Linked DNA regions of Oryctolagus cuniculus. The protein of the gene in region 2 purifies or fractionates together with the protein of the main gene of each other region. This does not show direct contact. Links are inferred from orthologs where the notes say so. Each region holds a gene or a part of one and is shown on either strand. Other genes may lie near its edges. The genes, in order: UNC119, LCK and SH2D2A.

Region 1 (9,865 bases), on a different chromosome or scaffold from region 2:
CACTGGTTTACTCCCCAAGTGGCCACAATGGCCACAGCTGCGCTGATTCGAAATCAGGAGCCAGGAGCTTCCTCTGGGTCTTCATGCAGGTGCAGGAGCCCAAGGATTTGGGCCATCTTCTACTGCCTTCCCAGGCCATAGCAGAGAGCTGGATCAGAAGTAGAGCAGCCAAGACCCGAACCAGCGCCCAAATGGGATGCTGGCACTGCAGGTGGTGGCTTTACCCACTACGCCACAGTGCCGGTCCTGGGTTTCTGGTTCTAATGAGCAGGGAATATGTCTTCCTTTTCCTTCATGGCCTCTGAATTGCCTAGGGGAGAGCTGTGCACCTGTAGGGGTGTGGCAACCTCAGGCTCCTTCTCCTTCTGCTTTCAGGTATACAATGTTGACCCCAAAGCCTACAATGGCTCCAGGCTACCAGTGAGAGTCGAGGTGGACATGGTACGAGTGATGGAGGTGTTCCTGGCGCAGTTGCGGTGAGGTCCTGGCTATCTACTTGGGGTGTCCTCTGTCTCCCTGATGACCTGAAGTTGGCCAGCTGCCCCCTGAGATCGTCTGCTGGGCTGCCGAGAAGGGGGCTGCCGAGAGCAGAGAAATCTCACTTGGCAGGAATGTCTTGGCTGTGTCTAGAGCCCCAGGGAAACTGAGAAAGGTTTCCAAGGAGCTCTGTGTCCTCCTCTTGAGGAGGATTAGCAGGTGACAAAACCTGTTTTAAGAAAAATAAGTTCATGTACTTCAGATCCCTGGGGTATGATTAGGGGTGCTTAAGAAGATAGCTGGCAATTCTTACGCGAACTGATCCACTGAGAGTGGCAGTCTGAAGTCCTGTGTTCTGAAGTTGTGTCTGGGCTCACCAGGAGAGTGTTCCGAGTGATTAGTAATGTCTGTCGTGGGTACAGCTTACAGAAGCACAGCACATGTGCCATGTCAAAGGTGGGCTTGCATCATCTCTTAACACCAAGTCCCACTGGCCCCATTTGTCCAAAGAGAGTAGAAAGAGTGAGGGAATTCAACGGAGTTGGTGTTAGAAATACTTTTATTATAGAACCTTTGTCCTTTGTTTTTCTTTCTTTTTCTTCTTTTTTTTTTTTTCCAGATTTATTTTGTCTATTTGAAAGGCCACAGTGGCTAGGGCTGGGTCAGGCTGAAGCCATGAGCCCAAGCTCCATCTGGGTCTCCCACATGGGTATTGGGTCCAAGTACTTGGGCCATCTTCCATTGCCTTCTTAGGGGCATTAGCAGAGAGCTGGATCAGAAATGGAGCAGCTAGGACTTGAACTGGCATCCATATGGGATGCCAGCATCACAGGTGTTGGCTTTATCCACTGCACCATGGAACTTTTTTTTTCCCACAAGATTTTGGAAATCTAATAAAGAAACAGTGGAAATGCAACATTCTGGTTGAAGCAGGGACTGGGGGCTCTGGATTGCTTGGCGTTGCTGCTCACCTTCCGAGACCCTGAGACACTTGCCACAACCCCTGTGGCTCTGGATACGACTGAAAATCATTGGCTTAGAGCAGGTATTACAGGAATCCTAGTCACAGCCTCCCACCTTCTGGTCTCAGCCACTTTGATCTTCTCTCCCTGTTTCTCCAGACTGCTTTTTGGGATTGCTCAGCCCCAGGTGCCTCCAAAATGCCTGCTTTCAGGGCCCAAGAGTGAAGGGCTGATGACATGGGAGCTAGACCGGCTGCTCTGGGCTCGATCGGTGGAGAACCTGGCCACAGCCACTACCACCCTCACGTCTCTGGCCCAGCTCCTGGGCAAGATCAGCAACATTGTCATCAAGGACGACGTGGCATCTGAGGTAAGCAGGCCTAGGATTGGAGTGGCCAGTGAGGCCCAGGGTGTGGCAAGACCAGAGAGCCAGCTGAGGCCTGGGATGAGTGTGGGCGTGCCACCCATGGTGCCCCTGGCTACCTGCAGACAGCCGTGCCAGCTCCCCAGCAGGAGTCACGATCGGAGAGAGGGTTCAAGCTGGACCTCAGAAAATAAGCCGCAGCCTTGTTAGCCTGACCTGCATAGATCCTTGGTGAACTCCAGGCCCCCTCCCTGATATACAGAAGGCCCAGTAAGGCCCAGTCCCCTTCCCCGCAATGGCCCAGGCCTTACTGCTAACCATCGTCCCCTCCCCTTCCTAGGTGTACAGGGCTGTAGCTGCAGTCCAGAAGGCAGCAGAAGAGTTAGCCTCTGGGCACCTGGCGTCTGCCTTCGTCGCCAGCCAGGAGGCTGTGACGTCCTCTGAGCGGGCCTTTTTTGACCCCTCGCTCCTCCACCTCCTCTATTTCCCCGATGACCAGAAGTTTGCCATCTACATCCCGCTCTTCCTCCCCATGGCCGTGCCCATCCTGCACTCCCTGGCCAAGATCTTCCTGGAGACCCGGAAAAACTGGAACAAATCTGAGAAGACAGACTGAGCAGGGCGGCATTTCAGCAGAAAGCCTCGCTTCTGGCCAAGGCGGGGAGGGTTCAACAGAGGCACGTGGATGGGGCTTCGGGGAGGGACTGACTGACTCTCCAGCAACCCAAGTACACCACTCCAAGATGGGCTCATCTTCCCTCCGCTCCCCAGTCCCTTGGCTCAGGTCCCTTCCCTACCTCCTTATCTGACTTGAAGGCCTCTGCCTGTCTCCCTGGAGGCGGGGGCAGCTCGCCTCTGCATAAAGCAGGGGAAAACCCTGGATTAGATTCTAGCCTGTTCCCCTGCGTTTCTCTCTGACCGCAGCAGAGGAGAGCGGTAGCGTTGCTGTCACGGACAGGGTATGGCACAGGTCACCTCCAGGATCTTCTGCCTGATTCCTCTCCCTTCTGGCTGACTTGTTGGGTACAGCCTGACCGGAGCCCAGGATCTGGTGCTGTGTGTAGCAGTTTCCCTTCATGCTTGCCGAGAGGCAGTGTGGTAAGTTCTAGACTCGGAATCAAACAGGCCTGAATTCATATCCTCGCTTCTGCAGTATTGTTTGGGGAGCTTTGGATAAGCCACTTAATCTCTCTGAGCCTGTTTTCCGTTTGTTCAAATGACACTGATGATACCTCCCTTCCAGGGCGGCTGTGAGGATTAAATGTGATAAGCACGTGAAAGTGTTTGCGCTCCGTTTGGCTCTTAGTACATAGTGAGTTTACTAGAAGTGGGAGCATGACTGTCGCTCTTTCTTCCTCCATGTCTAAAGGTTTTCTGATAAAGTACTCCTGCGCTCACAGGCCCACCTTGCCTCCACACGGCCATGTGCTCTTCCTGTCTCCAGGAAGTCCTGGAACAGCTCCTGCCTTTTAGTACCGTGTCTTGGAAAGAATAGCTTGTGCCAGTGTAAGCCCTCGGATACTCTTTCATCAGTTTGAAGAAAAAAAAAAAAAATGTTTTGAGCTGCCAAGAGCACTGTGCTAGGCGCTGGGGTATACAACAAAGCAGACAGGATCTCTGCTTTCACGGAGCAGGCCTGTCAGGGGCAAGAGTCTGAACACATAAAAATAATTTCATAGTGCTTTAGAAAGAAAAAACACCAGACTGATCAGATAGTGACTGGGGGAGGGAGGCCTTAGAGGCGATGACATTTGAGCAGAGTGACACCAGAAGGCTGGGATGAGAGCAGCAGTGGAAAAGGATCCCAGGCGAAGGCCCTGGGACTGGAACTCGCCAGAAGGGCAGAAAGACTGGGACACAGCAGGTAAGAGCACTTAGGACCTCCAATACTTCTGAAAAAGTACTCAAAAATGAACAAAATCCAGGGCAGCCCCCGTCCGCCCTAGGTCGTCCAGCCCTGGTGGGCGTGGCCCCACCGGGCCCGCCCTGGGGGCGGGGCGGTACCTGGGGCCCCGGCCGGGGGCGGGGCTGCGGACGCTCCCCCTTCCCCTGGCTCCAGCCAGCGCAGGCAGCGGCGGCGGCGGCAGCAGGCGAGCTGCGGCCCCGCGAGGCCATGAAGGTGAAGAAGGGCGGCGGCGGGGCCGGGACGGGGGCGGAGCCCGCTCCGGGGTCCTCGGGCCCGAGCCTGGAGCCCACGCTGGATCCGCGGGCTGAATCCGAATCCGGGTCCGAGTCGGAGCCAGAGGCAGGCCCGGGGCCCAGGCCGGGGCCGCTGCAGAGGAAGCAGCCCATCGGGCCGGAGGACGTGCTGGGGCTGCAGCGGATCACGGGCGGTGAGCGCCGGCGAGGGAGCGCCGCCCGCGGGCGGGAGGGAGAGCGAGCCGGGAGGGGGCCTGCAAGGCGCGCTGAGCCCCGGCCCCCGCCCCCTTTCTCGCCTCCCCTCCCCCACCAGGCCCCTCGCCTGTGTCCCCTACTCTACTCCTCTCCCTTCTGCCTGCAAGCCTGAGATCTCTGGGTTCCCCTTCCCTTGATCTCTCGGTACGCTCCCCCTCTTTTCTCTGGAGGTTTATTTCTAACCCATTTCTTCCCCTTTGAGAGTCTGTCGCTTTTTTTGGTGGAGGTGGGGCAGCATCTGCAACAGGGAGTCTTGGGGCTGGGAGGCCCGTCCGCACCAATGAGGGGGGTCACGTGCAGGGTGTCCGCCCACGCTGGGGGCCAGGGGGAGGCTGTTCCTGAGCCCACAAGACCCTCGGGTCTCCCTGAGCATTGGTGCCCCCATCCCATCTTCATCCCCAGGAGGGAACGAGCAGGAAGCGTCATTGCGCTGGCTGTGGGCCCTGTCATGGGAGCGGGTTAATGCCCCCCAAGCCTGTCCTCTCTGATCCCTTCCACCGTGGGTAGGAGTTTCTGAGTGTAATTGACTGGGTGACCTTGGACAAGTAGCTACACTTCCCTGAGCATGTTTCTTCATCTGTAAATTGGGGATACTGACACCGACTTCATCAGGTTGCTCTGAAAATAAAGAGCCGTCTGAATCTGAGCTCTGCTTGCACTATAAATAGGGCTCCTTTATCCATGCGTTGAGGGCCCCTCAGGGCTGCCCCTGGCTTCTGGGAGGCAGACAACTGGGCATGCAGGGCAGGGGAGAGGGCCACTCTAGGCAGAGGACAAGGGCCAGGACGCCTCCTGGCAGAGGCCACGGCTCAGCCTTGCAGAGACCATGGCCCTCCACATGGGATCGTTCAGCAGCAGCCCGGCCTGGCCCCCTTTGTGAGCAGCTCTGGGGCCTCTGTGTGGGGATGGGAGGCAGGCACTGGAGTGGACGTGAGCCCTGAGCTGCAGGAGCTGCAGGGCTGTGGAGGGACCCTGGTGGCAGGCCTGAGCATGCCTCTGGCTCCCTGGGGACCCCGCTCCCTCTGAGCTAAGCAGCGGGCATTCTTGTCTGGGCCCCCAGCGCGTGGAGCTCTCGTTCCTGTGGGTATTGAAGGTGGGAGAGGGCTGGAGCAGGCTGATGCTGGTGATGATTGGGCTGCGGTTTGCAGCAACAGCACCCAGTTCCAGCTTAGCTCTGGGACAGACTCCCTTATAGAAAATCGGAGGTCAGGCCGACCTGAGGCCCGGGCAACTTCTGGGGTTTGTTTTGTAACCATAGGAGGCTTCCAGCGCAGGTACTCCCATGTGTCTCCTAATTTGGAGGAAATGTCACAGCCCCGAGAGAAGGGGCATCCGTGGGCAGTGCAGCGGGCAGGTGTTCACTGGAGCCCTCCCTGTGCTGATCAGGAGCTACGTGCCGGTCTCTCCACCCTGCAGCCCTGGGATGGTCTCTTCTGACCCTAATCACACAGGTCTGAGGTTTGCTGTTCCAGGATTACCAGGCCCTGAATCCAGCTTAGGGAGCTATTTGTGGCTGAGGGGAAGGGAACAGTTGTGTTCCGAGCCCTAGGCCATCGTGACCCTGGGCCCCGGGCTGCATCCTCCCCTGGCAGAGGGAGGGAGCAGCCCCTGTTCCACGCTTCCTCTGCAACAGAGGGGTTGGCAGGTCGAGTCTGCAGTAGAAGAGACTGGGGCCAGGCTGCCAGAGGTTGCTCTCGAGCAAGTGGAGAGGCCCGGAGAGGTGGAAGATGAGGGAAGAGAGGGCTTCCTGGGGAGCTGGGAATTGGCTCCCAGGATCCCACTCCCAGCTCTGCCACCTCCCTTCCCTGTGGCCTGCACCGTCTCTCCATGAGGGCTCCCCATGGAGTTCATGGAAATAAGTATGATGGAGTCGCTGTGCATGGATGTCAGACTTCCAGTGCACCCAAGTAAACATTTGATTCCATTTTCCCATGGCCTTTTGAAGTACCCTTGTATACCTTGGGACTAGTGCTTACTTTCTATGAAAATCAGCATGGAGGTAAGAGTTACCCACGCCCATTCCCCCTCCTTTCCCCACCATGGGGCAGTGCTGGGCCCCATGGTCCCAAATGGCTGCCAGGGGGCTTCCTGGAGGGGGTTACCCCAGGCAAGGAGAAGAGGCAGACCTGGGGAAGAGAGAATGACTGTGTTCCCTTCCTCTTCCTGCCCTAGAGGAATAGGAGGTGACCCAGGGGCCTGGAGGGTAGTTTGCAGGCCTCTCGGGGCCACCAGGGGAGGGTGTGGTGCTGTACGGGATGGCAGCATGGGAGCCCCCCTGCACCGCTCTGCTCCTTCCTGTTCATCGGCCCCCTGAGCACCTGCAGTTGGTCAGCAAGAGCAGTGAGGGTTAGATCAGGCCCTGTATGTTCCTGAGCTTCCTCAAGCAGGGCCTGTCTCTGTTCCTGGTTCCCCTTAACCTCACCCACACCCTCTTCCTGGCCTAGACTCTCCTGTCCTCTGTGGGGTCTGGGGGTGCTTTCCCTGTGGCAAGGGGCTCAGATGGGTGGATGGGTGACGTCTCAGGGTCTTCCCTCTGTTTGCTAAGACTTCCTCCTGTTTGGAGAGCAACAGGGGATGGGAGCAAAGTTGGCTCCCTTTCCCCCAGTATCCTAGGCTCTGGGCTTGAGTCAGCAGAGCTTTGGCTAAGCTGCTTAAGAGAGCTGGGCTTGGATAAGCCGCTTATCGGAAGAGAAGGGGGGCTGGGAGAGAAGAAGAACAGAGAAAGGGTTTTGTACCTGCCTTGGCACCCCCCATTGTCAGTGAAAGTCAAATCACAACCATCCTTGCCTGACATATCTGGATGTGGTGGTGCCAGAGGTGGCCATGGACAGGGCTGTGTCGCCCCTTTTAGAGTGGAGTTCCCGAAGGTGGGGCTGTGTCTTCCCTCTTGGACCAGGGGCTCCCACTGGACTGGGCCCATTTGGCACAAAGGCATCCAGCCAGCCTGGCAGAGCTGAGGCTGAGATCTGGACCCTCAACTCCAGGGTGGAGGGGAGAGTGGGGGAAGGGCCCTGACTGTCCCTGATCCGCTGAGGCCAGTAGGATGGGGCTCTTCTTCCAGCTTAGGTCTCCGAGGCAGAGTTCTGTCTCTTCCAGGAGAAAGAGGTAGCTAATCCAGGCACCCACAAACTGGCAGCAGGGCTTTGGGGACCCATTGGTTGCTCAGCTGCCTGTCTCCCCTAGACTACCTGTGCTCCCCCGAGGAGAATATCTACAAGATCGACTTCGTCAGGTTCAAGATTCGGGACATGGACTCAGGCACTGTCCTCTTTGAAATCAAGAAGCCCCCAGCCTCAGGTGAGCAGGCCAGGTGGGCTGCTAAGAGGGGGAGGCAGGCAGGCACTGCAGAGAGCTCTGCCCAGCGACTTCTTGGGCTTCAAAGGAGTCGGAGTAGAGTTGAGGCTCGGATGCCAGGATCGTCCAGGATTTGCAGGCAGCCGGGCCTGTTTTCCTTGCCATACGTTTCTGGACTTGGACGTCTTGCCCCTTCAATCCCTGCCAGCCTGCCCTCTGCAGGCCTTTTTGGGAACTGCAGGCGGCTGCACCCTGCAGTCCACAGAACCTCATTTGAAATCTGACCTAGAACCCGCAAGTGGTATCATCATTTGACCAATGGTTCTAACCCTCCACATGTACTAGAATCTTCTGGGGAGTTGTCAAAAATTCAGACCAATGGAGCCATGGGGAGGAACCTTGGGTGGGCAAGGGCCTCAGCCTGACACCCACTGAGCCCCAGCTGGGGTACCTTGCAGAGCGGTTGCCCATCAACCGGCGGGATCTGGACCCCAATGCTGGGCGCTTTGTCCGCTACCAGTTCACCCCTGCCTTTCTCCGCCTGAGGCAGGTGGGAGCCACGTGAGTCTCTGGGCTGGGGTGCAGCAGCGGGTGAGGGGAAGGGTGGGAGGGAGCCCTTCCTGCCAGCCAGTTGGCTGGCTTGCCGGCCACACTGAGCCCTGCCCCTCCTCCTGCTTCAGGGTGGAGTTCACGGTGGGAGAGAAGCCCGTCAACAACTTCCGCATGATCGAGAGGCACTACTTCCGCAACCAGCTGCTCAAAAGCTTTGACTTCCACTTCGGCTTCTGCATCCCCAGCAGCAAGAACACCTGCGAGCACATCTACGACTTCCCCCCGCTCTCTGAAGAGCTGAGTGCGTGGGCAGGGAGTGTGGGGGGGTGCGAACAGAGACCAGGCTGGGGTGCAAGGGGTCCTGGTGGGTCTGACCCCCTCCCTCCCTCCTCTCCAGCCCCGCCCCCAAGTCTTCTGGATCAGGCACCGTTCCCACGTCACCTGTAGAGAAATGGGCAAAGTGGCTGGGAACTCAGGTGCCCCTGTCCTGCAGGGGCCCTGCTCCAGCTCCTGACCTTTGCCCTTGCCTGGCTGGGCCTCTCTTGCAGTCAGCGAGATGATCCGTCACCCGTACGAGACACAGTCTGACAGCTTCTACTTCGTGGATGACCGGCTGGTGATGCACAACAAAGCAGACTATTCCTACAGCGGGAACCCCTGACCCCAGCCGCAGCAGGCTCTGGACCCTGAGCCGGGACCTCCCCAACCCTCACCTCCCTACTCCAGGTGTTCTGCCTGGGGAGTGTTCGCGGATCCCCGGCCGTGGAGTCCGAGTCGGGAGGAAGGGTACCTGCTGTCTGCCAGCCACGCCCCTCAAGCGTGTGGGGTGGGGTGGCAGGAAGGCCTCTTGGGAGAGGAGCAGCCAGGACTTCCAGGCAGTTTCAGGATAGGTTTCCCTCCCCAGGCTGTGACTAGGTCAGGGCAGGATCCATTCCTTATTGCCTGCCCACCACCATCAGGCCATTTAGAGTCGAAAGTTCACAGACACAGATCCACAGTTGGGATCTGGCCCCATTGGCGGCTGAGACACTGCCTCAGGCCTAGGGGGGGACTGGCCCCCATTGCAGCCTATGGTAGGAGCTGGACCAACTGTACATAGTTTTCAATAAACTTTCTCCTTTTCTGTTCCCTGGTTTGGGCCATCTGCGTGGGGGGTGGGGGCAAGCAGTGCTGTCCCAAAGTAGTGAAAATCTCCCACCTCCTAGTGCCCTGTGACCCCAGTCCTCGTGCCCTCTGAGCCTCTTCGCCCGGACACCACCCTTAGCATCCAGAATCCATCTAGAAGCAATGTTTTAAGTCTGGTGGAGCCACCAAGGGTTTCTCCTGTGATGATGGAGACTGGCTGCGGGAGGGGAAGCACTGGCCTGGAACCAGCCAGTCCTGGCAGCTGAGTGGAGAGCAAAGGCCCCCAGCTGCAGCATGGGAGAAGGTGTGGGGAGACGCCCTGCCCCCGCCTCGCCCCCTGACCTCCGTGAGTCTTCACTGGAGAAGGCTACAGGGCTCAGCTGGGCCTGCCGCCATCTCTGCCCTCTGCTGTGTTGGGGAGCTCCCTAGCCTGGCCAACCCTGCCCCTAACACTGCTTTCTGCCTCTTCTCCTGTCCCAGAGCCAGAGGAGAGGGGCATGAGGTAAGCAGAGAGCTCACTTTGGGGTTCAGGCCCCCTTTGGAGGCCCCTGGTGCCGCATGCCCTCTGGGGACCTCAGAAGGGCTGGAGTTCAGCTGGTTCTGGGGAGCTCTCGCTGGGGGCCGGGATCTCTACTGACCTGGGTTCTAAAATGAGTGGGACACAGGGCAAAAAGCCTGTCCCTGGAACAAGCTGGCC
Region 2 (9,069 bases):
CCTGATCTCCAGTTCCTTCTCTTCGGTTCGTGCATTCATTCATCCAGGATCATTTTCACTGTCGGTGCGGGATTTCGACCAGAACCAGGGAGAGGTGGTGAAACATTACAAGATCCGTAACCTGGACAACGGCGGCTTCTACATCTCCCCTCGCATCACTTTTCCAGGCCTGCACGAGCTGGTCCGCCATTACACCAGTGAGCAGCAGGACCCCTCACCTGTGCGCTGGCAGCCTGTTTCCCCTGCTTCCCCCTAGGGGCGCCCTCCTGCGTCTGCCGGTGTACTTCGTTCCCCGCAGTGGCTGCAGTGTGGTACCCGGCCACAGTCCCAGATGTCGGTGACAGCTCATTTCCCCTGGGTGGGGACGTGGAGGCTCCGGGGCCTCCCAGCCCTGCCCTCCGACGGCCTCTGCCATGCTGGCCCTTGCCCGCGTCCCCGCAGGTGCTCCGGACGGGCTGTGCACGCGGCTGAGCCGCCCCTGCCAGACCCAGAAGCCCCAGAAGCCTTGGTGGGAGGACGAATGGGAGGTTCCCAGGGAGACGCTGAAGCTGGTGGAGCGGCTCGGGGCCGGACAGTTCGGGGAGGTGTGGATGGGTGAGTGCGGCGCTCCGGCACGGCCTGGGGGGCGGGGCGGGGGCGTCTGCTGCGGTCCCGCGACCTTGACTACCCTGGCCCCCGGCTCAGGCTATTACAACGGGCACACAAAGGTGGCGGTGAAGAGCCTGAAGCAGGGCAGCATGTCCCCCGACGCCTTCCTGGCCGAGGCCAACCTCATGAAGCAGCTGCAGCACCAGCGGCTGGTCCGGCTCTACGCGGTGGTCACCCAGGAGCCCATCTACATCATCACGGAATACATGGAAAACGGTGGGCGGCCGCCGCGCATGCTCGCTGGGGAACACCGCTGGCCCCTGGGACCCTGCTGGAGGGTGGGGAGACGCTGTTTCCTCCCGCCCAGAGCTAGAGGCCTTTCCGGGGGCTCCCAAGACTCAGCTCCAGGGGTGGGGCGAGCTGTCGTTGGGGCCTCTGTGGAAGCCCCCCGCGCAAGGTGGCAGGCTCTGGAACAGCATCCCCCCTGATTCAAAGCTCTGCCTTGATCCCAGAGTGAAGTGGGTCCCTGACCCCGTTTCTGTCTCCCACCTCTGAGAGTTGGGAGGGTGGTGGTGGTTCTGTCCCAAATGGCTCTTTTTCAGTTTTGGGTGAGCTCCTACTTCAGTAGCTCTGCTGTGGAATAGCATAAGAGTCCGAAAAAGACAGGGAGCAGCTCCTAGGCTCAGCTTTGCTCCCACTGACTTGCTGTGTGACACAGGCCACGTCCCTGTACCGCATCTAGCGCACAGTTATCCTAAGGAATAAAGCAGAAGTTTAAACGGGCTGGCCCAGAAGTCACACCGGGTGTTCCTTAAAGGCTCGGGAGCCTGGGTTAGAGCCCTGGATGGCTTTGCACTAATCACGTCAGTCCTCTCTGTCGCGGTTTCCACATCTGTAAAACGGTGGGACCAGGACAGGGGTCACTTCCTCACAGTCTTTGGGAGGCTACGAAGGTGAATTACGGAGAGCCCTTAGCACAGTGCCTGCTCCGTGTTAGCAGCTCAGGCAGGGACCCGGCTCTGCTTCTTTGGGAACACAAGGTCTGCCCCTCTTTCATGAAGGGAAGCAAACTCTTCATTGGCTCATGGGTCGTGGAAGTCACCTAGATCTTAGGTACGCCAGCTTTGGAGCGAAGGCTTGCGAAGGAGTCTCGGGCTCACTGGAGGTGAGCGTGGGGGTTGATGAGCACTGTCTGCCACCGACCGAGGAGGAATGGCAGCGTGTGTCCCTGCATGTGCTGGGGCTGGGTGAGGCCTGCATCTCTGATGACTGCTTCAGCACGCCACTCGCACTGGGGCACGTGCTCGTTGTCATTCGCACACAGAGTTTTAATCACTTGGAAAGGGCCAGTGGTCACTGACTGTGTTCCAGCAACTCCTATCCTGGTCTTCTCCCAGTCACCCCCCCCCCCACCAAAGAGTGTCCTTCCTGCCACACCCCACCCAACGTATGCAGCCCACTCAGACAGGGAGAAAGGTCTTGCATCCGCTGGTTCACTCCCCACATGGCCGCAATGGCCAGAGCTGGGCCGATCTGAAGCCAGGAGCCAGGAGCGTCTTCCAGGTCTCCCATATGAGTGCAGGAGCCCAAGCACGTGAGTTATCTCCCACTGCTTTGCCAGACCATAAGCAGAGAGCTGGATGAGAAGAGGAGTAGCCAGGACACGAACTGGCGCCCATATGGGATGCTGGTGCCGCAGGCAGACACTTCATCTGCTACACCTCAGCACCAGCCCTGGAAAGCCCGATTTTAGTAATTGGCACTGAGAAAACCAGAGCTCAAGTCATGGAAAAGTTCCAGTGTGCATGGGAAGGCAGATGATGCTGCAATTTGTGGTGCCTGCTGGCGTCCAGAGAGACTTTCAGGAAGGGTGGCCCAACTGGGTTAGAAGAAGAAAGGGGGCCGGCACCGCGGCTCACTAGGCTAATCCTCCACCTAGCGGCGCCGGCACACCGGGTTCTAGTCCCGGTCGGGGCGCCGGATTCTGTCCCGGTTGCCCCTCTTCCAGGCCAGCTCTCTGCTGTGGCCAGGGAGTGCAGTGGAGGATGGCCCAGGTGCTTGGGCCCTGCACCCCATGGGAGACCAGGAAAAGCACCTGGCTCCTGGCTCCTGCCATCGGATTAGCGCGGTGCGCTGGCCGCAGCGCGCCGGCCGCGGAAGCCATTGGAGGGTGAACCAACGGCAAAGGAAGACCTTTCTCTTTGTCTCTCTCTCTCACTGTCCACTCTGCCTGTAAAAAAAAAAAAAAAAAAAAAAAAAAAAAAAAAAAAAAAAAAGAAGAAGAAGAAAGGAAAGTAGAAATTTCAGGGCCCAGTGCTGTGGCTTTGCTGGTAAAGCCACTGCCTGCAGTGCCAGCATCTCATATGGGCACAGTTCGAGTCCCAGCTTCTCTTCTGATCCAGCTCTCTGCTATGGCCTGGGAAAACAGCAGAAGATGGCCAAGTGACTGGGCCCTTGTACCCGTGTGGGAGACCTGGAAGAAGCTCCTGGCTCCTGGCTTCATTGCTGCCATTTGGGCAGTGACCCAGTGGATGGAAGACCTCTCTCTCTGCCTCTGCCTCTCTGTAACTTAACTCTGTACATAAAAAAAAGAAAGAAAGAAATTTTAGCAGGCAGATATGAAAGAAAGAGGTGAGCCCAGTGGTCTGTGTGAAGGATCTCAAAGTTGTCGTTGATGGGTGGAGTGAAAGAGGCCGGTAGCGGAAGGAGAAGCTGCAAATGTGGACCACGCAGGACTTTGAATGACTCTATACCCTCATGGTGATGAGAAACCTACAGTCCCCTCCAACAGGGCCCCCACCTTGTCCCCTGAAAAAGCCCCTCATGTTCCTGGGCCTCTCACCTTGAACAAGCTTCTCCATTTGCACTCCTTACTCATCCATCTAGACCCCCAGCTGGGGGACAAGGGTCTGAGGGCCTCCCCCTAGGGCAACTTGGCTCAGCAACTCTTGCTTCTGCCTACAGGGAGCTTAGTGGATTTTCTCAAGACCCCTACAGGCATCAAATTGACCATCAACAAACTCTTGGACATGGCAGCCCAAGTAAGGAGGCTAAAGAGGGCCTGGGCGTTGGGCACAGGCCAGTGGGGTGAAGCTGTCAGGCCCAGGAGTACTGACCTGTACCTGGCCTGCAGATTGCAGAGGGCATGGCATTCATTGAAGAGCGGAATTATATCCACCGGGACCTGCGGGCTGCCAACATCCTGGTTTCTGACACCCTGAGCTGCAAGATTGCAGACTTTGGCCTAGCGCGCCTCATTGAGGACAATGAATACACAGCCAGGGAAGGTAGGTGTGGGGCGTGAGGGAGGTCTGGGGCCTGTACCTTCTGGCTAAGCACACACATTTTGTTTCTCCCTAGGAGCCAAGTTTCCTATTAAGTGGACAGCACCAGAAGCCATTAACTATGGGACATTCACCATCAAGTCAGATGTGTGGTCCTTTGGGATCCTGCTGACGGAGATCGTCACTCATGGCCGCATCCCTTACCCAGGTCAGCACCAAAGACAGGACTGAAAGGGGCGATGGGGAAGGCCAGCAAATCCATGTCTTCCCACTCGCTTCCTCCCAGGCTCAGAACCTGAAACTCTCTGGTTGCTTCTCCTCTGTCTTCTCAGGGTTGTCTCCAACCTCCCTAACAGATGCCACATCTCCCGGGGCCAGCCTGCATCTCTGTCTCTGAATCTCTCCCTTCTAGAACCCCAGCTCTTCTCTCTAGTTCTGGCACAGGCAGCCTGGTATGGTGGAAGTGGATCTGGTTTGGAAGGCAAGAGGCTTGTCTTTTATTACCAGATCTGCAACTGATGCTAACTTTCTTTTTGGTTTTGATCAGACCATTCCTTCTCTTTTTTAAAATAAATTTTTAATTATTTATTTTGTTTATTTGAAAGGCAGACAGACATAGTTAGATAGAAATCTCTTATCTGCTGGTTCACTCCCCAAATGCCCTCATACCTGAGACTGAACCAGACTGAAGGCAGGAGATGGCATTCAATCCAGGTCTTCTGTGTGAATGGCAGGAACCCAACTACTTGAGCCGTCACCTGCTGTCTCTCAGAATGTGTATGTGCAGGAAGCTAGAATTGGCAGTGGAGCCAGGGATTCAAACCCAGGCACTCCAGTATGGGGGATGCAGCTACCCCAAGTGGCCACACTTGACTGTTGTGTCAAATGCCTGTCCTAGATCACCCCTCCTGTTCCCATCTGTTAAGTGTGAGATCACTGTAGTGACTGGCCCATGCTGAGCTATTATTAATCATCACTTTGGGCCGTCACTTCACCTCTGTGAGCCTCAGTTTCCTGAAAAACAAGCGATTATTTGTAAAAAGCCTGGCTCATAGGAGGTGCTCACTGAACACTGACTTCCGTTTGCCTTCTAAAGAGGAAGAGAGATGTGTAAACAGCCAATCGCCCTCCCCTGAAATGCTTCCCCCCTCCCCACCTCCCTGCATTCAGCCTGGACAGAGATGGAAGGTTTTGAAAGGAATTGGCTTGGGAACTCTGAGGAAGGGAAATTGAACACACAAACAGGAGTAGGGAGGTCATGGAGCCCAGTGGCTGGATTTGCAGAGGCTTCGCACATCTCAGAGCAATGTGAACAGAACTTTGCTCCTAGGAAGGCTCTGTGGGGTCAGGTGAGAGGTTGAAGGACCGTGGCTTTGTCCCATCAGAGTCCGGAGGCAGTGCTGGAGCTAGAACCACACACCAGAGGTCCTGCCAAGGCCCCCTGCTGCTCCTCCATTGTTCCTGCAGAGTGAAAGCCCCGTGATCAAAGGCAACTGACACGTGGCACTAGGGTTTGGGAGAATGGGGAGACATGGGGACCTTAGTGAACTTGCATCTGCCCCAGCAGATGGCTGTCACTTATGGTAGGGGCATCTGAAAACCAGATCTTTTGTGTTTCCAAGAGAGACCAAAACTTGGAGTTTTAGGAAAAGCTACTCATTTCCAAATATTGGTAATTGACTCAAGTTGTTTAAAAACACCATATGGGCATTAGGCCTACCAGTTAAGCCTTTAGTTAGGACACCTATGCCCCACATGAGAGTGCCTGGGTTCAAGTCCCGCTCCAGTTCCTGACTCCAGCTTACTAACTGTGGACAATGGGAGCAGCAGTGATGTCTCAAGTGGATGGGTCCCTGCCATCCACTGGGAGACCTGGATTGAGTTCCTGGCTTCCAGCTTTGGCCTGGCCTAGCCCTGGCCATTGTGGGCATTTGAGGAAATGAACCAGCATATGGGGAGGCTGTTTGTGTCTCTCTGTCTCCCTGATCTTGCAAATGAAACAAACAAATGGAAAATCAACTACCTGGTCCAAAGCAAGCTGGGCCATCTTCAAGCTGGGTTTAGCTGATGGTTGGCATCATTGACTCTCGTGTTTGGTTTCCTGGCTTACGTCTTCTACTTCCTGGATTTTAAAATGTGAGGAATCCAGAGATAGGAGCCATCCAAGGGCAAGGGCTGGGGAAGAGGAGTCTGTATTGACAAAGGTCTAGCCCCAAGCTTAGCAGGAGCCAAACTTCAGTGTATGTATTTTGCTGGGACCCTATAAGGGTTTGGCCTTTGAGATCTGTTTGTCACAGTCTTCTCTCAGGAGAGTGAAGAAAATGCAAGAGGATACATGGATAATTTTAAGATAGGGAACCGGGGTGGGCGATGTGGCCTGTGTCCCATATTGGAGTGCCAGTTTGAGTCCCAGTGACTTCACTTCTGACACAGCTGATGGCTCAAGAGCTTGGACTGCTACCATCAATGTGGGAGACCCAAATAGAGTTCTGGGCTCCTGGCTTTGGCCTGGCACAGCTCTGGCTGTTGCAGGCATTTTTTAAAATTTTATTTATTTATTTTTAAAGCTTCTCTCTGTCCCAGGGACAGCACTTTCTTTCTTTTCCTTTTCTTTTCTTTCTTTCCTAATTTTTTAAGGATTTTCTTTATTATTTGAGAGGTAGAGTTACAGACAGAGAGAGGGAGAGACAGACCGAAAAGTCTTCAATCCACTGGTTCACTTCCCAAATGGCCACAATGGCTGGAGCTGGGCTGATCCAAAGCCAAGAGCAAGGAGCTTCTTCCAGGTCTTCCACATGGGTGCAGGGGTTCAAGCACTTGGACCATCTTCCACTGCTTCCCCAGGCCAGAGCAAGGCGCTGGATTGGAAGAGGAGCAGCTGGGACATGAAATGGTGCCCATTTGGGTTGCCAGCGCTTCAGGCAGAGGCTTAGGCTACCCTGCCACGGTGCCGGCCCCCTGTTGCAGGCGTTTGTGGAGTGAACAAGCAGATGGAAGATATCTCTTTGCCTCTGAACCTCTGCCTTTCAAGTAGATGAACATAAACAAACATTTAAAAAGAATGAAATGAAAACAAGGAATTACATCCTTGCAATCCTCCAGAGAAGTTCTCCTGAGACAAGAAGCCTGCCTGGGGGAACAAGACCAGCACAAAAGGAGGGAACCAACCCAAAGACTATTTGGTCTGGGTCATGGAGGGGCCTGGTGATCCTTCTCAGTCCCAGGCAGAGCCTGCTTCTCTGGGCCTGGGCCCTTCTGTCTTCCTGACTCACATTTCATGTGCCTGGTCCCAGAGTGGGAGAAACCTCACCACTCTCCTGGCTGTGGGCTCCCATCCTGCCCTGGGTCCTGACCTACCTGTCATCATCATAATCACAATTTCCCTTGGTGAAGCAGCGCCTAACTGGGCCTTCATACACACTACCTCGTTCAGCCATCATAATGACTCTGGGAGGGAGGAGCAGCAGCTTACTCTGTGTTCCAGATAAGGAAATTCAGGCCCAAAGACATGAGGTTGGCAGGAGATGTGGGGGGAGCACGTTGTGGCACAGTGGGTTAAGCTACTGCTTGGGATACCCACATCCCAAATCAGAGTCCCACTTTGAGTCCCAGCTCCTCTATATCCAATCCAGCTTCCTGCTAACGCACCTGGGAGGCATCAGATAATGGCCCAAGTACCCTGGGGAGAAGGATGGAGTTCCTAGCTCCTGGTTTTGGCCTGGCCCAGCCCTGAGTGTTGTGGGCATTTAGGAAGTGAACCAGCAGATGGAAGATCCCGCTCTCTGTTTCTCCCCCTCCCCTCCGCCTTTCAATTAAATAAACAAATCCCATTTTTTTATTTAAAAAAGAGGTAAGGTTGCTGTCCATGGACCCACAGCTAAAATGTGCGTGCTAATTGAGTGTTTGAGCTGTATTAGGTAGTCAGGTGGTGTGAATGACATCAGCAGGTGCTGCCAGCATGGCTTTACCATTGAAGAAGACCAAAATCCTTTTGAACTGGTGCTCGGACTCTGCCAGTTACAGGTTCTAAACATCACCCTTGGCTGTGGGCTTCGAAATTCTAAAGCCTTGATGTCCTTTCTCCCATCAACCTCCAGGGATGACTAATCCTGAAGTGATCCAGAACCTGGAGCGGGGCTACCGCATGGTGCGCCCTGAGAACTGCCCAGAGGAGCTGTACCACCTCATGAAGCTGTGCTGGAAAGAGCGCCCAGAGGACCGGCCCACCTTTGACTACCTGCGCAGCGTGCTGGAGGACTTCTTCACGGCCACAGAGGGCCAGTACCAGCCCCAGCCTTGAGAAGGCCCTTCCCCTTCATGCCAGCCTGGCTTGGGGAGATGGAGTTCTTGTGCCAAAACCACATGGCCTATGCATATATGGACTCTGCACATGAGTCCTGCCCACGTGCAACACATATGTATCTTGTGCTTGTACATACATCCCGAGTTGCATGGGTTTTGCACATGTGTCTTGTACATGTGTAGCCTATGCATGGATGCCTTCGACACTGTCCAAGGTGTGTCTTTCTAAGCACTCCTACTTCCTGATACCACAGAGACAGGAGAGAGTCTTGTGATTGACACCAGCTTCTGCCTGCCCACTTGTCTTTGCCCAAGCCCTCCAGAAGCTCCTTCAGGGTTAGGACCTTATCTAATACCTCTGTGTGCTCCTTGTCGGTGCCTGGCACCTGTTAGGGGCTCAATAAATGTCTGTTGATGAAGGTGATGCAACTCTCTGCTGTGCACTCCGTATCTCTTTCTTGGGGGGGGGGGTGGTAAATGGGAGGTCACATGATAGAAACTGGGTCACCCCAGGGTTGGGGTGTTGTGCAGTGTATTAAGCTGCTGCTTGGGACACCCACATCTGGGCTCCTCCATTTCCCTTCTAGCTTCCTGCTAATGCACCTGGAAGTCCTTAGATCCCTGCTACCCATGTAGAAGACCTGAATGGAGTTTCTGGCTCCTGACTGCAGCCTAGCCCAGCCTAGGCTATTGTAGGAGTTTGTGGAGTGAGCCAGTGGATGAAAGATCTCTTCTCTTTTTGTATCTCCCCCTCTCTCTCTGTCACTCTTTCAAATAGATAGATACATCTTTTTTTAAGATTTATTTATTTATTTATCTATTTGAAAGTCAGAGTTACACAGAAAAAGAAGGAGAGGCAGAGAGAGCTTCCATCCGCTGGTTCATGCCCCAGTTG
Region 3 (9,554 bases), about 98 Mb from region 2:
GTGGGTTAAAATGCCTCCTGTAGTGCCAGCATCCCATGTGGGCGCCGGTTCATGTCTCAACTGCTCCACTTCCAATCCAGCTCCCTGCTAATGCACCTGGGAAAGCAGCAGGAGATGGCTCAAGTACTCGAGACCCTGCAGCCACATGGGAGACCTGGATAAGGCTCCTGGCTCCCGGCTTCCACCTGCCCCCCCTTTTCTCTCTCTCTCTCTCTCTCTCTCTCTCTCTCTCTCTTTTCCCTCCCTCCCTTTCTCCTGCTCTCTCTAACTCTGCCTTTCAAATAACTGAGTAAAGCTTTAAAAAACGTGACAAAGCCTTAGGAGACTTTCTACGAAGCGATCAGCCCGGGGACCGACCTGTACGACTGCTGAGCCTGCGTTAATTTCTGCAGGGGGGAGCAGGTCACATGTGGAGATACACCGCTGCATCAGGGACGCAGCTGGCCGGCCTCATAGCAGGAAGCTACCGTCCTGCAGGTGTGCTTCTAGCTCAGTGTTAGCCCCAGGCTCGAATGCCTGCTGCCTTTGGTAGGCTAAGGCCACAAGGCTTTTTCTCAGGCTCCTGCGAGCCACAGGTCTCCATCTGGGGGTGCACTGCAGGCTTAAGGGGTCCAAGTCAGATTTCTCTCTCCATGCTCCCCACCTTTGCCCACCCATCCCAAAGGAGCCCCTCCTCCCTGCTATGCAAACAATGCCTTGGGAGGCAGCCCTGGCACCTCCGCCTCAAATCCAGGGCGGGCCGAGCTCTCTTCCCCTGCCTGAATGCCTCTCACATGGGCTGCCTTCCTCCAGCCCCGCAGCCACCATGCTTGGCCAGGCCTCCTCCCCGATGCTCCTGCCTGTCAAGCCGTTCTCCAGGCTTGGGGCAGGGGTGATCTTACACAGACGCCCTCACAGTCCTCCCGTGGCTGCCGCTGCTCCGGGATAAATGGACTCCTGAGAGCCTGAGTGACTGGCACAGTTCCCCGAGGGCCGCATGGCCTCTCCCTCACCACCGCCTCCCTGCACTCAGTTCCTGCCGCTTGGGCGTCTTCGGGTCTCTGCCTCTTCCTCACCATTGGCACTCTCCCCACTTCTTTTGAGTTGACCCCAATCAAGCTCCGTGGAGCTGCTCTCATTGGAGTCACCAGTGGCTTCCTCTCTGAAATCCAAGGTCAAGTCCTGAGCTGCCACGGCCGCTCACCCTTGCTGGGCTGGCTTGGCTGCCGGAGCTCCGAGCCGTCCTGGTTTTCCTCTCGGCTCTGGCTGCTCGGCTTTCTCTGCAGGTTCCCCTCGTGTGTGCAGGCTGCAGGTGCACATCTTCCCTCCTCCTCCATCGACACTGACTGCGGCAGACCCCGCCCCAGCCCCAGCCCCAGACGCTTCAGAGCCCCTCTCCGCGCTGACGACTGCCCAGCGTTTATCCCCGGCCCAGGCCTCAGACACGTGGACACCCTTGTTTGCATGTTGAACAGACATCCCGAGCTGTGCATGTCCCAAACTGAACTTCCCCCATCGCCCACCCCTGCTGGACCGACTGCTCCTACAGCTGTCCTCATTCAGACAATGACAACTCCACCTTTTCACACTTCTCTTCCAATGCTGCAAACAGCCCCGCAGCTCTGCCTGCTGTGCAGGGCCACGCTCCTCACTCCTCCACGTCGGCTGCCCTGGCCCCGGCTGCCAGCACCTCGCCTGACATACGGCAGGAACCCCACGTCTAGCAGCCTCCTCCTCACCTCTCCTGAGCTGCCAGGTCACACGACTCCTCAGCTTGCCACTCTGCAGAGTCATCCCCCACCCCCCACTCGGTGTAACCTTCCAGATCCATACAGGCCCCCTTCCCTCACCTCCCTGTTCTCGTCTCCTACCTGCCTCGCCCTCAGCCGCCCCGATGCACCCCAGTTAGTGATCCTCCAAACACATCAAGCACCCCCAGGGCCTTTGCACCTGCTCTTCCTGCTGTCTAGAGCACGTTTCCCCCAGTTCTCTGCAGGGCTCCTTCCATTACTCCATTCAGGCCTCTGATGTCCCCGTGAGAGTGACCTCCCTCGATGTCCCTGTGTGAAACAGTCGCTCCCTTTCCCATTCACTACTGCGCACTGCTTGTTATCTGCACCATTTGCTGTCTATCTCCTCCGAGGGAAGCTCCGTGAAGGCAGGGATATTTCGTTCAGCTTCGCTCACTGCTGTCCTCCCGGTGTGCAGAACAGTGCCGGTACACAGCGCCGCTCAGAGCTGCTGAACTTGTAACCAGGGAGGCGTTCCCTGCGGGCTGTGTGGTTTCTCCCGGCTGCACACTGCGTGCTTGGTTCCTATCAGTCTTTGCTTCCTAAGAGAAAGCTTTGTGCGTTTGAAACCTGTCTGCCTTGTCCTTGGGTCATTCCCAGGGCCTGCCGGCGCTTGGTGTGCCCTCCCCACCCCTCCTGTCCATGTGGCTGGGCTGGTCTCTCAGGGTCTCTTCTGCCCCGTTCTTTCTCCAATGACTTCCCATGGTGGTGAGTAGGCAGGGGAGGTATGACTGGGGCCACAGCCCTGGGCCTGGGCTCTGGGTGGGGAGGATCATGGGCCTGGGTCCTTGGGTCTTGGGTCAGGTGGGGGGGGGGCGGGGCCAGGGGTCGGCGGCGTACCTGGCGGGCGAGGGGCTCCGTGAGGGTCTCTCCGTAGGGGCTGAGCGGGCAGGCCGAGTAGTGCTGCAGCAGGTCCTGCAGCCGCGTGTGGGCGCTGTCCTCGCCCAGCACCACGTGGCGCCCGTCCGCGAGCTGGGCCAGCAGGAAGTGGCGGCAGCAGGTCCGGCTCCTGGGCGGCACCATTCGGGGTTAGATGCTCTCCCTCCCTGCTGCCAGGGCCAGCGGCTGGAGGTGTGACCCTTAAGCCCCTACCTACTCTGTGATAGGGTCCACACCAAGCCCCCCCACCCCCCACCCCCCGCCCCCGCATCAGTTATCCCGGAGCCCTGCCTCCGCGCCCTCAGCACCTGTACGTCAGCACGAAGGTCACGGCGCTCTCGCTGAAGCGCACCAGGTAGCATCCCGGAGGCTTGGGCTCCAGCAGCCTCTCGGCCTCCCTGTGGGTGTCAGAGAGAGGGGGCGGAGCCTTGCTCTGACTCATCTGCCGCGACTTCTGTCTCCCTACTCTCACCAGGGATCCCTAACTTGAGCAAGGGCTAGGGTGCAGGTAGGGAGAAGAGGGCGCTTGGGTCCGCGTGGACGGGCTGGGATCCTACTCCGGAGACCCCTGAGCCCTGCAGCCTCCAGGAGCCTCGTCCTCCAAGGGTGGCTTGGAGAGAGAGGGTACACTGGAGCCTAGAGAGGGGAAACTGAGGCATGGGCACGGTGTTGGGCTGGAGCTGCTCCAGTGCTCTCCAGGAGAGAGGTTTCCGTGTAAGCCCAGGAGACCCTGGGAGCCAGTGCCTGGGCTGGTGGCCTCCGTCTCCCCCTGCCTGAGGACCCGAGACTCTGCTCTGGGTCTGCCCCTCTTCAGGCCTCTCTCCACCCCTGTGACTCACTTCCGGGTGATGAAGCCGTGGAACCAGGCAGGGGCGGCCCCGTCCTGCAGGAGCTGGTGGGCCTGGGTCCTCTGGAACCAAGCCCGGGCCTCGGCCTGCAGGGTCAGGCCTCCTTCTCCAGGCACCTCCTCAGCTCTCTCTGCTGGCGCTGGGATGGGGGCAGCCCCCGAGGCCTGGGGCCATACCTGGACAGGGGAAGAGGAGAAGGAGGGGAAGTGGCCACGATGGAGGGGCCGTCCACTGCCTCCGTGCCGGCAGCCGCCCTTGCCCTCCTGCCTGTCCCTCCTGGCTAGTTCAGGCCCTGATTGCCCAGAGGAGCCTCCTGAGATTACCGACTCAAACTTCACTCCAGCGGCCTGCTTCCCAGACTCTCGCCCTTGCCTTGTCTCTGGGTCCCGGGGGCACTTGGAACCGTGGGCTGGTGCACTGCTCCAAAAGGCTGAGGGGCAGCAAGGTCTTCCCACGGGACGGAAAGCCATGGGGCTGAAGGGAGTCACCCCAGAGGCCTCGCTGAGCGAGAGTTCCCAAGGACTGTGTGGATGGAAAGGGCTGGGACGGCACCTGGGAGAGGCTGGGCACACCAAGACACCTGCTCCTGCCACGCAGGGCTCTGCACCTGGCCGCCTGTGGGCTCGGCTGAGCTTCCCAGGAGCAGAGAAGTGGCGCGGGGCCAGCCCGGCGTGGGAAGGAGGCACTGCCCGCCATCTTTGTCTCCCTCCAGGCCCCTAGCCTGTTGGCACCTGCACTTCATCCCAGCTTCCTCTCCTGCTGACCTTGTCCACCTGCTAGTCCTCACCGTGGAGGGGTGGGAGGAGACGAGGGAGCTGCACGCCCACCCCAGGGTCCCACTCACCGTGGTGTGGACAGCCAGGGCCCTGGGGCTGGGCTGGGCTTCCTCGCCCCTCAGGGCCTGCAGTCTGGGCCTGGGGAGCAAGCCAAGGCCCTGGCAGCTCCCGCGGGTCGAGTCCATGGTCTGGGACGTGCTGAAGGTTGGGCTGGGGGCTCCGTGATTTCCTGTTAGCATAAAGGGGTGCTCAGGGGGGGTGCTGCCTCTCTCTCTGCCTCCCACCCCTCTCTGCCAGGCTCAGAGGAACCCCACATTCCCCGAGCAGAGGCCTGGGGACAGGGAGACGCAGAGGGGATTTGTCAACCCTGAGGAGTAGGGAGCCCAGGGGGCACAGAGGGACGGCGGCTATCAGAGGGGGCGGCCAGGGAAGCGGGGTGCCAGGAGGGAGGGCTGGGAACAAGGCTGGGAGCCCCCCAGGTGGAGAGGTAGCTCCCTTCAGAGCAGGCCCTGTTTGGGCCTGGGATCCTCACCTACCGTGCACTTCGTCTTCTTGCTCCCTCGCCTTGCCTGCCTTTGCGCCCAGGGAGGATGGGCCCGGAGCTCCCCCAAAAGGGAATGGGGGAGGGGGGCGAGCTCTCTCACCCCTGAGGTGGGCGCTCAGGCTGAGGAGAGAGAGCAAGGGTGGTGGCTGTGCTGACGTCTGTCCCCGCACTGACGTCTGTCCCTGCACACCGAGCCCCGATCTTGAACATTGCACTTACCTTGGGGGCATATCTGGGCCAAGGGCACCTCCATGGGGCAGCCTATGAGGGGCCCCCAGCACAGGGTGGGTGTCTGGGCTCGCCCGAGGTGTGCATGCTCAGCAACTCCTTGCTCCCCTCGCCCTAGCCCCCGGGACAGGAAATGTCGCCTCACCCACAGCCCGCGCCCGCCCGGCAGAAGACTCGCGTCACGGAAAGCACTGAGGCAGGTGTCCCGCCCCCGGAAGTGGGGCAGCTGACGGTGGTGCAGTGGCCTGGTGGGGCTGCTGTTCCTGTCACTTGGTGTTGACGTGTTGGGAAGTCCTGGCTGATGTCTGCTCTCCACCCCTCCAGATGCTGTCTCTGCGCCCCAAGCCCAGGCTCGGACTTCCTTTTCTTTCTTTCGTTGTCTCAGCTTCTGACTTCTTCCTGGGAAACCTCCCAGTCTGGCTCTCGTTCTGCTCTGAGCGGTGGGAATGGGGAGCTTCTTCTGGGTCTCCTACACAGGTGCAGAGGCCCAAGAACTTGGGTCATCTTCTACTGCATTCCCCAGGCCGCAGCAGAGAACTGGATCGGAAGGGGAGCAGCTGGGACTTGAGCTGGCGCCCATATGGGATGCTAGTGTCACCGGCGCAGGTTTTACCAGCTACCCACAGCGCCGGCCCCTATGCCTTTTCCTTAATGCTAGGAAGTACAGAGAGCAACGTCTTGTCCTATATAGCTAACTCCAAGCCAGGGATTTTGGAATGAAGGTGGTGATTGTGGGAATCCAAGGAGATAACACACACAATGGAGTGAAAAAATATCTTTAAAAAATTTGTTACTCCTATCATTTAAAAAAATCTTTATTATTTGAGAGGCAGAGTGACAGAGAGAGACAGAGATCCTTCATCTGCTTGCTTCGCTCCTCCCAAAGGCCTGCAGCAATCAGGGATGGGCCAGGCCAAAGCCAGGAGCCAGGAACTCCATCCAAATCTCCCATGTGGGTGGCAGGGACCCATGTCCTTGGGCCACAATCCACTGCCTCCCAGGCACAGTAGCAGGAAGCTGCATCAGAAGTGTGGAGAAGCCAGGTCTTAACCAGGCACTCTGATGTGGGTGCAGGCATCCCAGTAGATGGCTTAACCCACTGCACCACAATGCCTACCCCTGTTTCTACCCGTTGCAGTAAGGGGACAAACTGATGAGTTTTTCCTTTTACCTTCCTACCCTACGTGTGCAGACTTGACCCATAGCCCACCATTGCCTTGTCTAATCAGTTATGATTTGGTAAATAACTGCCAGGGCCTGGCTTGGTCTTATTTGAGGATCTCCTGTCACCAGTTTACAGGTAGGACCACTGAGATCAAGACTGAGACACACAGATTCAGAGAGCAGGTGTTTAGGCTGGTGGTTACGACTCCCACATCCTGCATCAGAGTATCTGGATTCGATTCCTGGCTCTGGCTCCTGACTTAGCTTTCTGCAATGATGACTCAACCGACTGGGTTCCTGCCACTCACACAGGAGACCTAGGTCTTGTTCCTGCTTTGAGTTCCCAGCTTTGACCCCAGCCCAAAGCCAGCTGTCACAGGCATTTGAGAAGTGAACCAGTGGATGTTGAATGTGCTGCCTTTCTCTCTCTCTGCCTCTCAAATAAATAGAAAATAGTAAATAATTTTATTTTTAAAAATTTCTTAAAGATTATTTATTTGAAATACAGAGTTATAGAGAGGCAGAGGCAAAGGCAGAAAGAGAGAGAGAGAGAGAGAGAGAGAGAGAGAGATCCTCCATCTGCTGGTTTACTCCCCAGATGACTTCAATGGCTGGAGCTGGGCTGATCCGAAGCCAGGAGTCAGGAGCTTCTTTTGGGTCTCCCACATGAGTGCAGGGACTCAAACAACTGGGCCATCTTCCACTGCTTTCTCAGGCACATTAGCAGGGAGCTGGATCAGAGTGAAGCAGCTAGGACTCGAACAGATGCCCCTATGGGATGCTGGCGCTGTAAGCAGAAGCTTTATCCACTATGCCACAGAAGTAGCCCCTGAAAATAGTAAATAATTTTACAAAGACTCAGCTTTAGTCATACAATGAGAACATTAATCTGAACCTGAGGCTTCCATGTGGGACTTTCTTTCTTTCTTTCTTTCTTTCTTTCTTTCTTTCTTTCTTTCTTTCTTTCTTTCTCTCTCTCTCTCTCTCTCTCTCTTTTGATTCATTTATTTGAAAGTCAGAGTTACACAGAGAGAGGGAGGCAGAGAGAGAGAGAGAGAGAGAGAGAGAGAGATCTTCTATCTGATGGTTCACTCCCCAATTGGCTGCAATGGCCAGAGTTGTGCCGATCTGAAGCCAGGAGCCAGGAGCTTCTTCCGGGCCCCCAACGCGGGTGCAGGAGCCCAAGGGCTTGGGGGCATCTTCTACTGCTTTCCCAGGCCATAGCAGAGAGCTGGATCGGAAGAGGAGCAGCTGGGACTAGAACCGGTGCCCATATGGCATGCTGGAGCTTCAGGCCAGGGCTTTAACCCACTGCATCACAGCGCCGGCCCCTGCTTTCATGTTGATGACAGCTGAGGAGAGCAGAAAAGGAGCAGGGCTTTCAACGCCTTTAACTATTGCTGGAGCAAAAGAGCCCTGTGTGGCTTTCCTTGGGAAGATCAGTTTCAGGCTTCAAGAAAACCAGAATCTTAGGGGCTGGTGTTGTGACAAACCGGGTTAAACTGTTGCTGGCGACAACAGCATCCCATATCCAAGCACTGGCTCAAGCCCAGCTGCTCCTGCTTTGATCCAGCTCCTTGCTAATGCACCTGGGAAGGCAGTGGACTATGGCCCAAATACATGGGTCCAGGCCACCCCGACCTGGATGGAGTTCCTAGCTCTTGGCATTGGCCTGGCCCAGCCCTGGACAGTGCAGCCATGTGGGGAGTGAGCCAGAGGATGGAATCTCTCACTTTCTGTCTCTCCCATTTTCTCTGTGTCACTCTGCTTTCTAAACAAGTAAATCTTTTTTTAAAATTTATTTCCCCCCAAAGAAATCTTTTATTTAAGGAATACAGACTTCATGCATTTCACAAGTACAACTTTAGGAATATAGTGATTCTTCCCACCATACCCGCCCTCCCACCCACTCTCCCACCTCCCCTCCTCCCTCTCCCATTCTCCACTAAGATCCATTTTGATTAACTTTATGCACAGAATACCAACTCTATACTAAGTAAAGTGTTCAATAATTTGCATGGGGAAAAAAACAAAAAACAAAACAAAACAAACAAAAAACTGTTCCTCAACAGTTGAGACAAGAGTTGTTCAAAGTCATTGTATTTTGAAGTTAATTTCACTTTTTTTCCCCCTAGAAACTTAGTTAAATTTAAAGAAGCACCCAAGAGTGATAAACTTTTGTGATTATTCAGACTTAATTATAATGCAACTCTTTGAGATTAGAGGTCTTGATGGGAAGTTAGTGTATGGTGACTCTTGTTGTTAATTTAACAATTAACACTCTTATGTATGACATCAGTGATCATCTGAGGCTCTTGACATGAACTGCCTAGGCTATGGAAGCCTTTTGAATCCACAAACTCTGTCAGTATTTAGACAAGGCCATAAGTAAAGTGGAAGTTCTCTCCTCCCTTCAGAGAAAAGTACCTCCTTCTTTGATGACCACTTCTTTCCACTGTGGTCTCACCCACCGAGGTTCTTCATGTAGGGCATTTTTTTTTTTTTTGATAGGCAGAGTTAGACAGTGAGAGAGAGAGACGGAGAGAAAGGTCTTCCTTCCATTGGTTCACCTCCCAAATGGCCACTATGGCTGGCACGCTGTGCCGATCTGAAGCCAGGTGCCAGGTGCTTCCTCTTGGTCTCCCATGCAGGTGCAGGGCCCAAGCACATGGGCCATCCTCCATTGCCTTCCCAGGCTATAGCAGAGAGCTGGACTGGAAGAGGAGCAACTGGGACAGAACCGGTGCCCCAACTGGGACTAAAACCTGGAGTGCCAGTGCCACAGGCAGAGGATTAGCCTAGTGAGCGATGGCGCCAGCCATGTAGGGCATTTTTTTTGCCACAGTGTCTTGGCTTTTAGTGACTGAAATGCTCTTGTGAGCTTTTCAGCCAGACCAGAATGCCTTAAGGGCTGATTCTGAGGTCAGAGTGCTATTTAAAGTGATTTAAAAAAAAAAAAAACAAAACACTGTTCCTCAACAGCCAAGACAAGGGCTGTTCAAGTCGTTGCTTCTCAAAGTGCTAATTTCACTTCTATAGATTTCTGTGTGAAAGCCATTCTAACTGGGGTGAGGTGAAACCTCATTGTGGTTTTGATTTGTATTTCCCTGATGGCTGGTGATCCTGAGCATTTTTTCATGGTCTATTGGTCATTCGGATTTCCTCTTTTGAAAAACGTCTGCCTAAACCCTTTGTCCATTTCGTCACTGGGTTGTTTGTTGTTGTTGAGTCTCATGATCTCTTTATATATTCTGGTTATTAATCCTTTATCAGTTGAATAGTTTGCAAATAATTTCTTGCATTCTGTTGGTTGCCTCTTCACTTTCCTGAGTGAAGGAAAGTGATT

The links.
Region 1: the proteins of LCK (region 2) and UNC119 purify together in Homo sapiens (affinity purification with western blotting; 3 studies listed by BioGRID and IntAct, with this or other methods). This does not show direct contact. The link is inferred for Oryctolagus cuniculus from reciprocal best matches to the Homo sapiens genes LCK and UNC119.
Region 3: the proteins of LCK (region 2) and SH2D2A purify together in Homo sapiens (co-immunoprecipitation; 3 studies listed by IntAct, with this or other methods). This does not show direct contact. The link is inferred for Oryctolagus cuniculus from reciprocal best matches to the Homo sapiens genes LCK and SH2D2A.

What each region holds. Positions count from the first base shown.
Region 1 is NC_091448.1:44,059,394-44,069,258, reverse strand, and holds UNC119 (protein unc-119 homolog A), read left to right. Parts: upstream 1-3,838; 5' UTR 3,839-3,916; coding exon 3,917-4,136; intron 4,137-6,172; exon of another isoform or gene 6,173-6,196; intron 6,197-7,380; coding exon 7,381-7,494; intron 7,495-7,949; coding exon 7,950-8,052; intron 8,053-8,171; coding exon 8,172-8,344; intron 8,345-8,591; coding exon 8,592-8,704; 3' UTR 8,705-9,170; downstream 9,171-9,865. Other genes in the region: PIGS (GPI transamidase component PIG-S), read left to right, coding at 376-476, 1,599-1,809, 2,144-2,419. UniProt on the Homo sapiens protein: Involved in synaptic functions in photoreceptor cells, the signal transduction in immune cells as a Src family kinase activator, endosome recycling, the uptake of bacteria and endocytosis, protein trafficking in sensory neurons and as lipid-binding chaperone with specificity for a diverse subset of myristoylated proteins.
Region 2 is NC_091438.1:140,190,018-140,199,086, reverse strand, and holds the end of LCK (tyrosine-protein kinase Lck), read left to right. Parts: intron 1-47; coding exon 48-197; intron 198-441; coding exon 442-594; intron 595-684; coding exon 685-864; intron 865-3,552; coding exon 3,553-3,629; intron 3,630-3,721; coding exon 3,722-3,875; intron 3,876-3,948; coding exon 3,949-4,080; intron 4,081-7,969; coding exon 7,970-8,172; 3' UTR 8,173-8,603; downstream 8,604-9,069. UniProt on the Homo sapiens protein: Non-receptor tyrosine-protein kinase that plays an essential role in the selection and maturation of developing T-cells in the thymus and in the function of mature T-cells. Plays a key role in T-cell antigen receptor (TCR)-linked signal transduction pathways.
Region 3 is NC_091438.1:41,983,388-41,992,941, reverse strand, and holds the start of SH2D2A (SH2 domain-containing protein 2A), read right to left. Parts: upstream 5,179-9,554; 5' UTR 5,070-5,178; coding exon of another isoform or gene 5,047-5,069; coding exon 5,036-5,046; intron 4,937-5,035; coding exon 4,809-4,936; exon of another isoform or gene 4,805-4,808; intron 4,502-4,804; coding exon 4,341-4,501; intron 3,673-4,340; coding exon 3,488-3,672; intron 3,047-3,487; coding exon 2,957-3,046; intron 2,779-2,956; coding exon 2,610-2,778; intron 1-2,609. UniProt on the Homo sapiens protein: Could be a T-cell-specific adapter protein involved in the control of T-cell activation. May play a role in the CD4-p56-LCK-dependent signal transduction pathway. Could also play an important role in normal and pathological angiogenesis.